Danio rerio: one gene and its partner. The protein of the gene in region 2 purifies or fractionates together with the protein of the main gene of each other region. This does not show direct contact. Links are inferred from orthologs where the notes say so. Each region holds a gene or a part of one and is shown on either strand. Other genes may lie near its edges.

Region 1 (3,322 bases), on a different chromosome or scaffold from region 2:
TATGTTAGATCTGTGTTCAGTGGCTCGGCCAGTGCTTCTGGAACTACCTGGACTGGCCTGAGATCTGTCAGTATGTGACCACCTGCGTCATTATGGGACCCGATTACCAGGTGTACATGTGCGTCTCTGCTCTCCGTCACCTACAGCAGGACATCCTACAGCACACACAGACACAAGACCTCCAGGTCTTCCTCAAGGTGCAGTATAACCTTTTAACTGTGCGTTTACATAAGCCGATTATGCTTTAAAGGATAGAGAAATGAAAATAAAATGACTTACTATTTTCTCACTCTCATGTGGTTCCAAACCTATATGTGTTTCTTTATCAGGTTGTCCACGAGGTCTTAAAAGGTCTTAAATTTTAAAAACAAAATGTCTTAAATTCACCAAAGTATTGTTTTGTTTGTCTTAAATAATTTTTAACAGGTCTCATTATAACAGGTCTCACCCAGTAATCCAACACATCCAATCAACAATAATGCCAAACTTTTTGCAAATCTCTATTTATAACTAAAATTATAACAGTTTGTTGTGCATACATTTAGTTTACTACATTTTTTAAAGAGTTTTTTTTAAGTTTTGTGGAAAAATAGTGTGTATGTAACTTGGGTCTGCTTGTTTTGACACATCATTTAAAATATGTGACTTAGAAATAATTGATTGCAATGACTTTTTGATAGGGCAAGAATTTTATTTTTTTTTTCTTATGGGAAAAAAATCTCTTATGTTTTGCCAGGGGTCTTAAAAAGTCTTAAAATGTCTTATATTTCAAAAACAAAATTTTAGGCCTTTAAAAGCCCTAAATTCACTGAAATATTGTGTTGTATGCCCTCTGTCCAAGTAAAGCTACCCAATCGGGTCAACATCCATCCATTCTCCAACAATCCATCTTAGTAAAATCAGGGAAAGTAAACTAAAAATCAATTACACGGTTGCTTGTGATAATAACAGAGCAATATATGTCTTTACAATATCTTCCATTCATACATTATTTACAGAAGGGGGAGCAGAAATAATATTTATAAATAGGTATGAAACTTAAGGTTTTATTACAGAAACACATTAGGTTGAATAGAAGTTATACTCAATTAATTTGGACCAAAAGCCGCCAAATATATATTTTGATTAGTAATGTAATTGTCTCCACATTAAAAATATTCTTTTAACAATGTTACACTTACCTTTAAAAAAAGAAATAGTGTGTTGACAACTAGTGTATACTTATAAGTGTATACTTACAAAAAGTGTATACAACTAGAGTTTTCTTGTTTTGACACATTTATGTATGTTGCTAAGATTTTTTTTTTTTATTTTATTTTTTTGTGGCAAACCAGGCAATTAGAAATAATTTTTAGCCCTGTATAAGTGTAACATTTTATTTATAATAGCTTTAAAAAGGTCTTAAAAAGTCTTTAAATTGACATGATAAAACATGCAGGAACCCTGTTAGCCCTATATAAGTCTGAAATTTCATTATTGATGGTCTTAAAAAAAGTCTTACAAAGTTTAAAATTTGATTTGGTGAAATCTGCAGAAACCCTGTTTATTTTGTTAAACACAAAATATATTTTGAAGAAAGCTGAAAACTTGTAACTATTGACTTCCTTACTAGGGAAAAACAAATACTATGGAAGTCAATGGTTACAGGTTTCCAGGTTTCTTAAAAAATATCTTTTTTATTTAACAAAAGAATGAAACTCATAAAGGTTCAGGGTGGATAAATGATGATTACATCTGCTATTTTGCATGAATATCCCTTTAATAAGCTGATATGTGTAATGCCATGTAAACGCATTACCCCTATTTATTTTATTATTAAAGGTAAAAGATGGTTAAAATGCTTTTTTTTTTTTTTTTTTTTTTTTTTTTACACAATACCCATTATCGCATTGCATGTAAACAAGTTTATCAGCATTCTAGCAGTTTATTAATGTACTCATGTCTGATTGCACATGCAAGGTACTTGTTGAACACAGATTTCATTTCTATCAATATTCGTGAGTTCTATCAAAATTACCTTCTTCCAAGAGTGTCTACTGCGGACATGTATCCAGTTTAAGCAGGCACTTCTAGACAGGGGCAGCAGTTATATTTCATGCACCGAATAATCGATTAATAAAATTTGCTACATTCACAAATACTGTAAAAAAGTGATAACACACATACAATACAACAGCACAGCTTCTGACAGACTCCCCTCAAAATTTTCGAGCTACTGATGCTGATGTTTGGGCTGTGACATTAGCTTTCAATGAGTGCGTTTACATGGGCATCAATAATCACATTTTAATACGATTAAGACAATACTCTTATTAAGAGTCTACTTTGTAAGCAGTAATTTATTCATTTAAAAAAAAAAATACCTTTATCCGACTAAAGTCATACTCAGACTAAACAGAAATCAGATTAAGACATGTGGAGGAGTATGCCTATTTTAGCTGCATTATTGAAGTGCAGCACAGACATGTAAACACTGCATTCAAACTAATTCCGTCGTTTAAGATTTTTTGCCGCGTTTTGCAAAAGGCCTGTCTATACACACACCTCTGTTTGACACTATTCTCTGCACCTACCGAGTCAATGAAGGACCACAGACACCGGCACCTTGAGGGTTTTTTGCAGAGTTTTTTTCCACCCTAAGGCGTAGAGTATCAAATTCCATTAAAACAACACTCTTCCAGGAGTTCATTGCTACCAATATCTCGTTGGTCTCGGAGGCATGCATGAAATGTTTCTGAATAAAAGTGAAACTGCAGTTAAAGTCGATGAATTAAATATGAAATACCTGAAATTTAATCAAACTTCAGAGGAAATGTGGATAGCGTGTTGACGCAATGACGTTAATCAAATTGAAACATTCAAAAAACAACTCATGTAAACATGTAAAGCACATTATTCTATTATTCAGATTAAGGCAAATAATTTGATTACTGATGGCCATGTAAAGGTAGTCGGTATGAAATCTGGCAAAGCTTAGAATCTCATGGTTTTTGCATAACAGGTTTACTGATTTGCATGCAAACACATAAAAAACTACTTTCTGAAATAATCTAATATTGGATAATTTTGTGCATGTATAAAAAACATTGAGTTATAATTTACTCATCTTCATGTTGTTTTAAAACTGCAACACTGAGAGGAGTTAAGTTGTAATGTTCAGCCTCAAAATGAGTTTAGCTGAATGTTCACATTATTCTTTTCTGTGTGATAAAAGTGAATAGGGATCTGGGACTAGAATGGTCTAAAAAGACAAAACATCATCATAAAAAGCATGTTCCTCAGACTTTCGAAAGACCACAAGGGTGAGCAAATAATGACAGAA
Region 2 (4,385 bases):
GTGTGTGTGTGTGTGTGACAGAGACAAAAGGGGGAGGGGAATGTTGTGTGTACAGGAGAAGAAAATGCGGTGAATAAAGCTCTCTAGTAATGCAGCACTTCTAGTTTCACATGATCAGCGGCTCCCTTAAGGATCCCTCATTAGGGCAGAAGGCCTCAGGAAACCAGTGCTCTTGGGTATAGTGGTCTCAGCTTCCATCATCAGTCACCCTGCCTTAACATTAAGTATATTAACACATCTCACATGAGTGCACAGGTCTGACACCAGTTATTTGGTCTATGGCTCAATGTTTTGGTAGTTCTGTATTGACAGACTACAGTTAATTTGATTCCTAACTAAATGACTAGGATTTCTTTTATAAAATCGAAAATATGCAACAAGTGTGGTCTGATTACTAAAGCAAGTGACTCTTATAATTTGATCATTTTTAGTGAGTATTAGAAAAATGCAGAGCTAACATGTAAGTGTAATCTGTTTCCAGAACTATTGATCCTTAGAAATTGATTCTTTTAGGTACAATATAAAGCATGACAGGAGTAATCTGATTAACAAAGCAGGAGACTCTTAAAATTAAGTTATTTTTATTGAGTATCTGAAAAATATAGTGCTACAACTGTAATCTGATTCCAGAACTAATGACTTTTAAAAAAAATCTATTTTATTTAATATTTTCATAAATATATATACAGTTGAAGTCAGATTATTGACCAGAGTACTAAACAATTGACTCTTTTGAATCGATACTTTTTAAAGAATTAGAAATATTCAGCATGACAAGAGCAGTCTGTTTAACAGTTGTTTGACTGGAAGGCTATGAAATGATTTTTTTTATTTTTTATTTTTATTTTTTTTAGTAAATTTGAAATATATGGCTTGACAAAGATATGCGATAATTCTTTTCATTTAATAAGAAATCTTTACAGTGTGATAAAAAATTCAAGTACCAAACATAATCAATAGATCCTTTTTTGAAGGAAAATGTGAAATATACAGCATGACAAAAGTAACATTCTTGAGTCAGCTTTTACCAGCATGAATCGATTTGTTTTGACAAAACAGAAATATACAATCTGACAAAGGCAGTCCGATCACCTAACGATTCACTCTCATGAATCGATTCATTATAGTGATGTAGAAATAAACTGCGTGACATAAGAAGTGTCATTACCAAACGATTAACTATTATTAATCTAATTAACTATAATGAATCGAATCCTCTTTAGTGAATCAAAATATTCATAGTTACACACACACACACACACACAGACACACAGACACACACACACACACACACACATATATATATATATATATATATATATATATATATATATATATATATATATATATATATATATATATATATATATATATAGTCCAATTATACCAATCAAAAGACTTTGGCACTTTGTAATGAGAACTGTAAACACGCATTAGCAAAGCTGCAAAATCCGAAGAGATTCGTTAATTAATGACTGATGCTTAAATTAATGACTCTTTTGAATCGGTTCTCCTAATGAATCAGACCTTGAAATTAATGATTTTGATTACAATTAATGAATTAATGATTAATGATTTTGTCCTAACGGTTTATTGGATTACTAAATTACCTAGTAATGAACAGAAATTATAATTATTTCCAAAAGTGTTTATTGGTAAACACTTTTTTGTTTTAAGATGAATGCTCTTTTTACTGCTCATCTCTATTAACTTAAATGATCTTATAATTCAGAAAAAACACGCTACAGGCAGTGAATTCGAAGAGAACTGTCTGCATGTATTTATTTCCAAAATAAGTAATAAGGGTCGTTAATGGAACCGTTAAAGAGTCGTTAAAAATAACCCTATATCAGGTCGTTGCACCTGCTGCATATGTTCAAAAATGTCTTTGAAACATGGTACACATGACAATTAATAGATAAAGAAAGAACCCCTCTAAATGATCCTCAGAGAAACAAATAAACTGAATTTACCTGCCAGCTCGGCTCTGCGTATCTGTAGTAGCAGAAGTTTTCGGTGATCCAGCTGTATATGGCTGACAGGGTGATTTTGGTCTTGTTGCTGGCTTGCATTGCCATGCAAATCAGAGTGGCATATGAATAGGGTGGCTTCACGTGGCGGTTTGTTTTATAGTCTATCTCCTCAGCCGGGTTTGTTTGACCCGTTATGTAGTGTCCGGCTTGCTGAAGCGCGTATGGATTGGCCAAACTGCTGCAGGACGTTGTGGGATTCCCAGGTGTCTGTGGCATCCCTGTGGCGGCGGTATCTCCGGCAGGTGGACTGGAGGGCGAGTCGGTACCCCCCAGCTGGTTTTTGTAGTAAAAGAGATGTTGCGGGTGGCAGCCGGAGCTGGGAGTCCTCTCGGGGTTGGCACTGAGGATGGAGAAGTTCTGCAGCCAGTGCAGACTAGTGAGACTGTCGTCAAAGTGCACAGAGCCGCTGACATTATCCTGATCCTCCGGATGAAGCATCAGCCATTTCTCTTTGAATTTATTCGCTATTTCAGGACTCATTAACACCGGCATCTTGATCGCGAGTTTGGAAGGAGCAGATCTGTGAACGACAGACAGACACGCTTGAATATTCGAAAATAACGGCTAATAAAATAAAGTAGCTAACTATTTTAATATAAGCGTATGATTATAAATAATCCACCACAGAGTTGATCTCCTAAACAAACCGCCTACCTGCGAAATGAAAACACGCCGAATAACTCGTATGTTTGAGCGGTAGCGGTGTATGTCTCTTCAGTCCGTTAGATTCAGCCTGTTCTTCTCAGAGCAACAAGTGCAGCGGATAACGGAGCGCGTCCACACAATCACACATGTCCTGATGTCTGCTGGAAAAAAGTAGCATTCCAATCTCGTCTTTAAGAAAGTCCAATGGAAGCAGTTATTGTGTCGTAACTCGTAAGCAGTGAACAACAGAAGAGAAATGAGATGCGGGCTCCGTACTCCGCCGTTTTGCCCGTTTCTTAATAGCCCTTTAAATGTTGACGCTCTCTGATTGGCTGAGAGCTCCAGAGTAGAACATGTCATTGTCCCTGCGCAATGAGCGCATTCTGGGGGTTTCAGGCTTTTACATGCCACAGATCTTTTGTTGTTTTGTTTTTTTATTTATAGCTTTTTATTAAATATATATATATTTTAAAAATATATATTTTGCATTTGTTGCAATGCTTTTGTCTACAAACGTTACAATGAACCTCTTATCAATGCCTCAAATGCGGTCATCAAGGGGTCCCAAACCGGACCACAGCTTGAAACTCGTTTTATCAGATGAAGATGTTACAGGTGCTTATTTTGGTGCAATTATAGTGTTGAATAATTAAATGTTGTTTTTCAACTCTTAAATTAACAAAGTTTTCTTGATTAAAATGCATCACATTCGAGGATTTGCGATTTATTTATTATTATGATTATTTGCCTTAGAATTACACTAAATAGGCATACATTGTAAAATGAAATTTGCTACATTCTTAAAAGAGGGTTCCAAAAAATTGTTTTTATTATTATTATTATTTATTTTATTTTTATTTTTTTTGCAGTGATGTTTTAGAATATCATTCTTTGGTTCCCAAAAAAAACCCTTTTGTTCTTAAAGGGCATTCATTTTCCACTATAAAAACGTTCTGTGGAGTGGCAGGGTTTAAAGAAAATATATTTTTAAGAGTGCACATTCCTCGAGTAAGTCGTTAAAAGTCGTTGATAATAAACTTTGCGCCCGCGCCAAGAATGAAAGAAGCGCGCAAGAATGAAAACAGTGACGCGCTTTTACAAGAGCGCGCCAATCATCCCGCCGCAGGAGACCTCTATGACCCTCTCCTTACAGTCAAAGCATTAGCTTACACACCACATTGTCAAACATGTAGCCGTTTTCTCGGAGGCTTGGTGTACTTTGGGTAAATAATAGCTTTACTGGATTTTCAGAAACTACCGAAGTTTTGTCAGAGAGAATGAGGATTTTCCAAAACAGAGAATACACTGCCACCCACTGGCTGAACAAAATCCCTACGCTAGCCATAATCTATCAATCAATCAAATAGTTAGAAATAAGATATTTCGTTGATCAAAAATAAATAATAATAATTAATAGCATTACTCCAAACGTCAATCTATGTACTTTCTCAATGGAAAATTCTATATGGTATTATCAGAAATTATTCTTTGCATGTTTTTCTTTTATTCTGTACCTATTTTTTGCCATAAGATCACGATATCATTGCCTTAAAATTGATCAACAACCTTTATTTGAATTCATCTTAAATAACAGCATTTAATAGCCCTATTTAAGCATATTTGGTCCTCTTTAAACTATTTTGAACTATCTGAACAATAGTATAAACTATTCCAAAATATTTTGCCTACTTTTCACATACAAAAATT

The links. Proteins that work in one complex are often made in the same cells at the same time.
Region 1: the proteins of foxj1b (region 2) and tbc1d32 purify together in Homo sapiens (affinity purification with mass spectrometry; 3 studies listed by BioGRID and IntAct, counting the BioPlex papers as one, with this or other methods). This does not show direct contact. The link is inferred for Danio rerio from reciprocal best matches to the Homo sapiens genes FOXJ1 and TBC1D32.

What each region holds. Positions count from the first base shown.
Region 1 is NC_133195.1:44,126,843-44,130,164, forward strand, and holds part of tbc1d32 (protein broad-minded), read left to right. Parts: intron 1-8; coding exon 9-197; intron 198-3,322.
Region 2 is NC_133187.1:21,834,373-21,838,757, reverse strand, and holds the start of foxj1b (forkhead box protein J1-B), read right to left. Parts: upstream 2,951-4,385; 5' UTR 2,526-2,950; coding exon 1,974-2,525; intron 1-1,973. UniProt on the Homo sapiens protein: Transcription factor specifically required for the formation of motile cilia. Acts by activating transcription of genes that mediate assembly of motile cilia, such as CFAP157.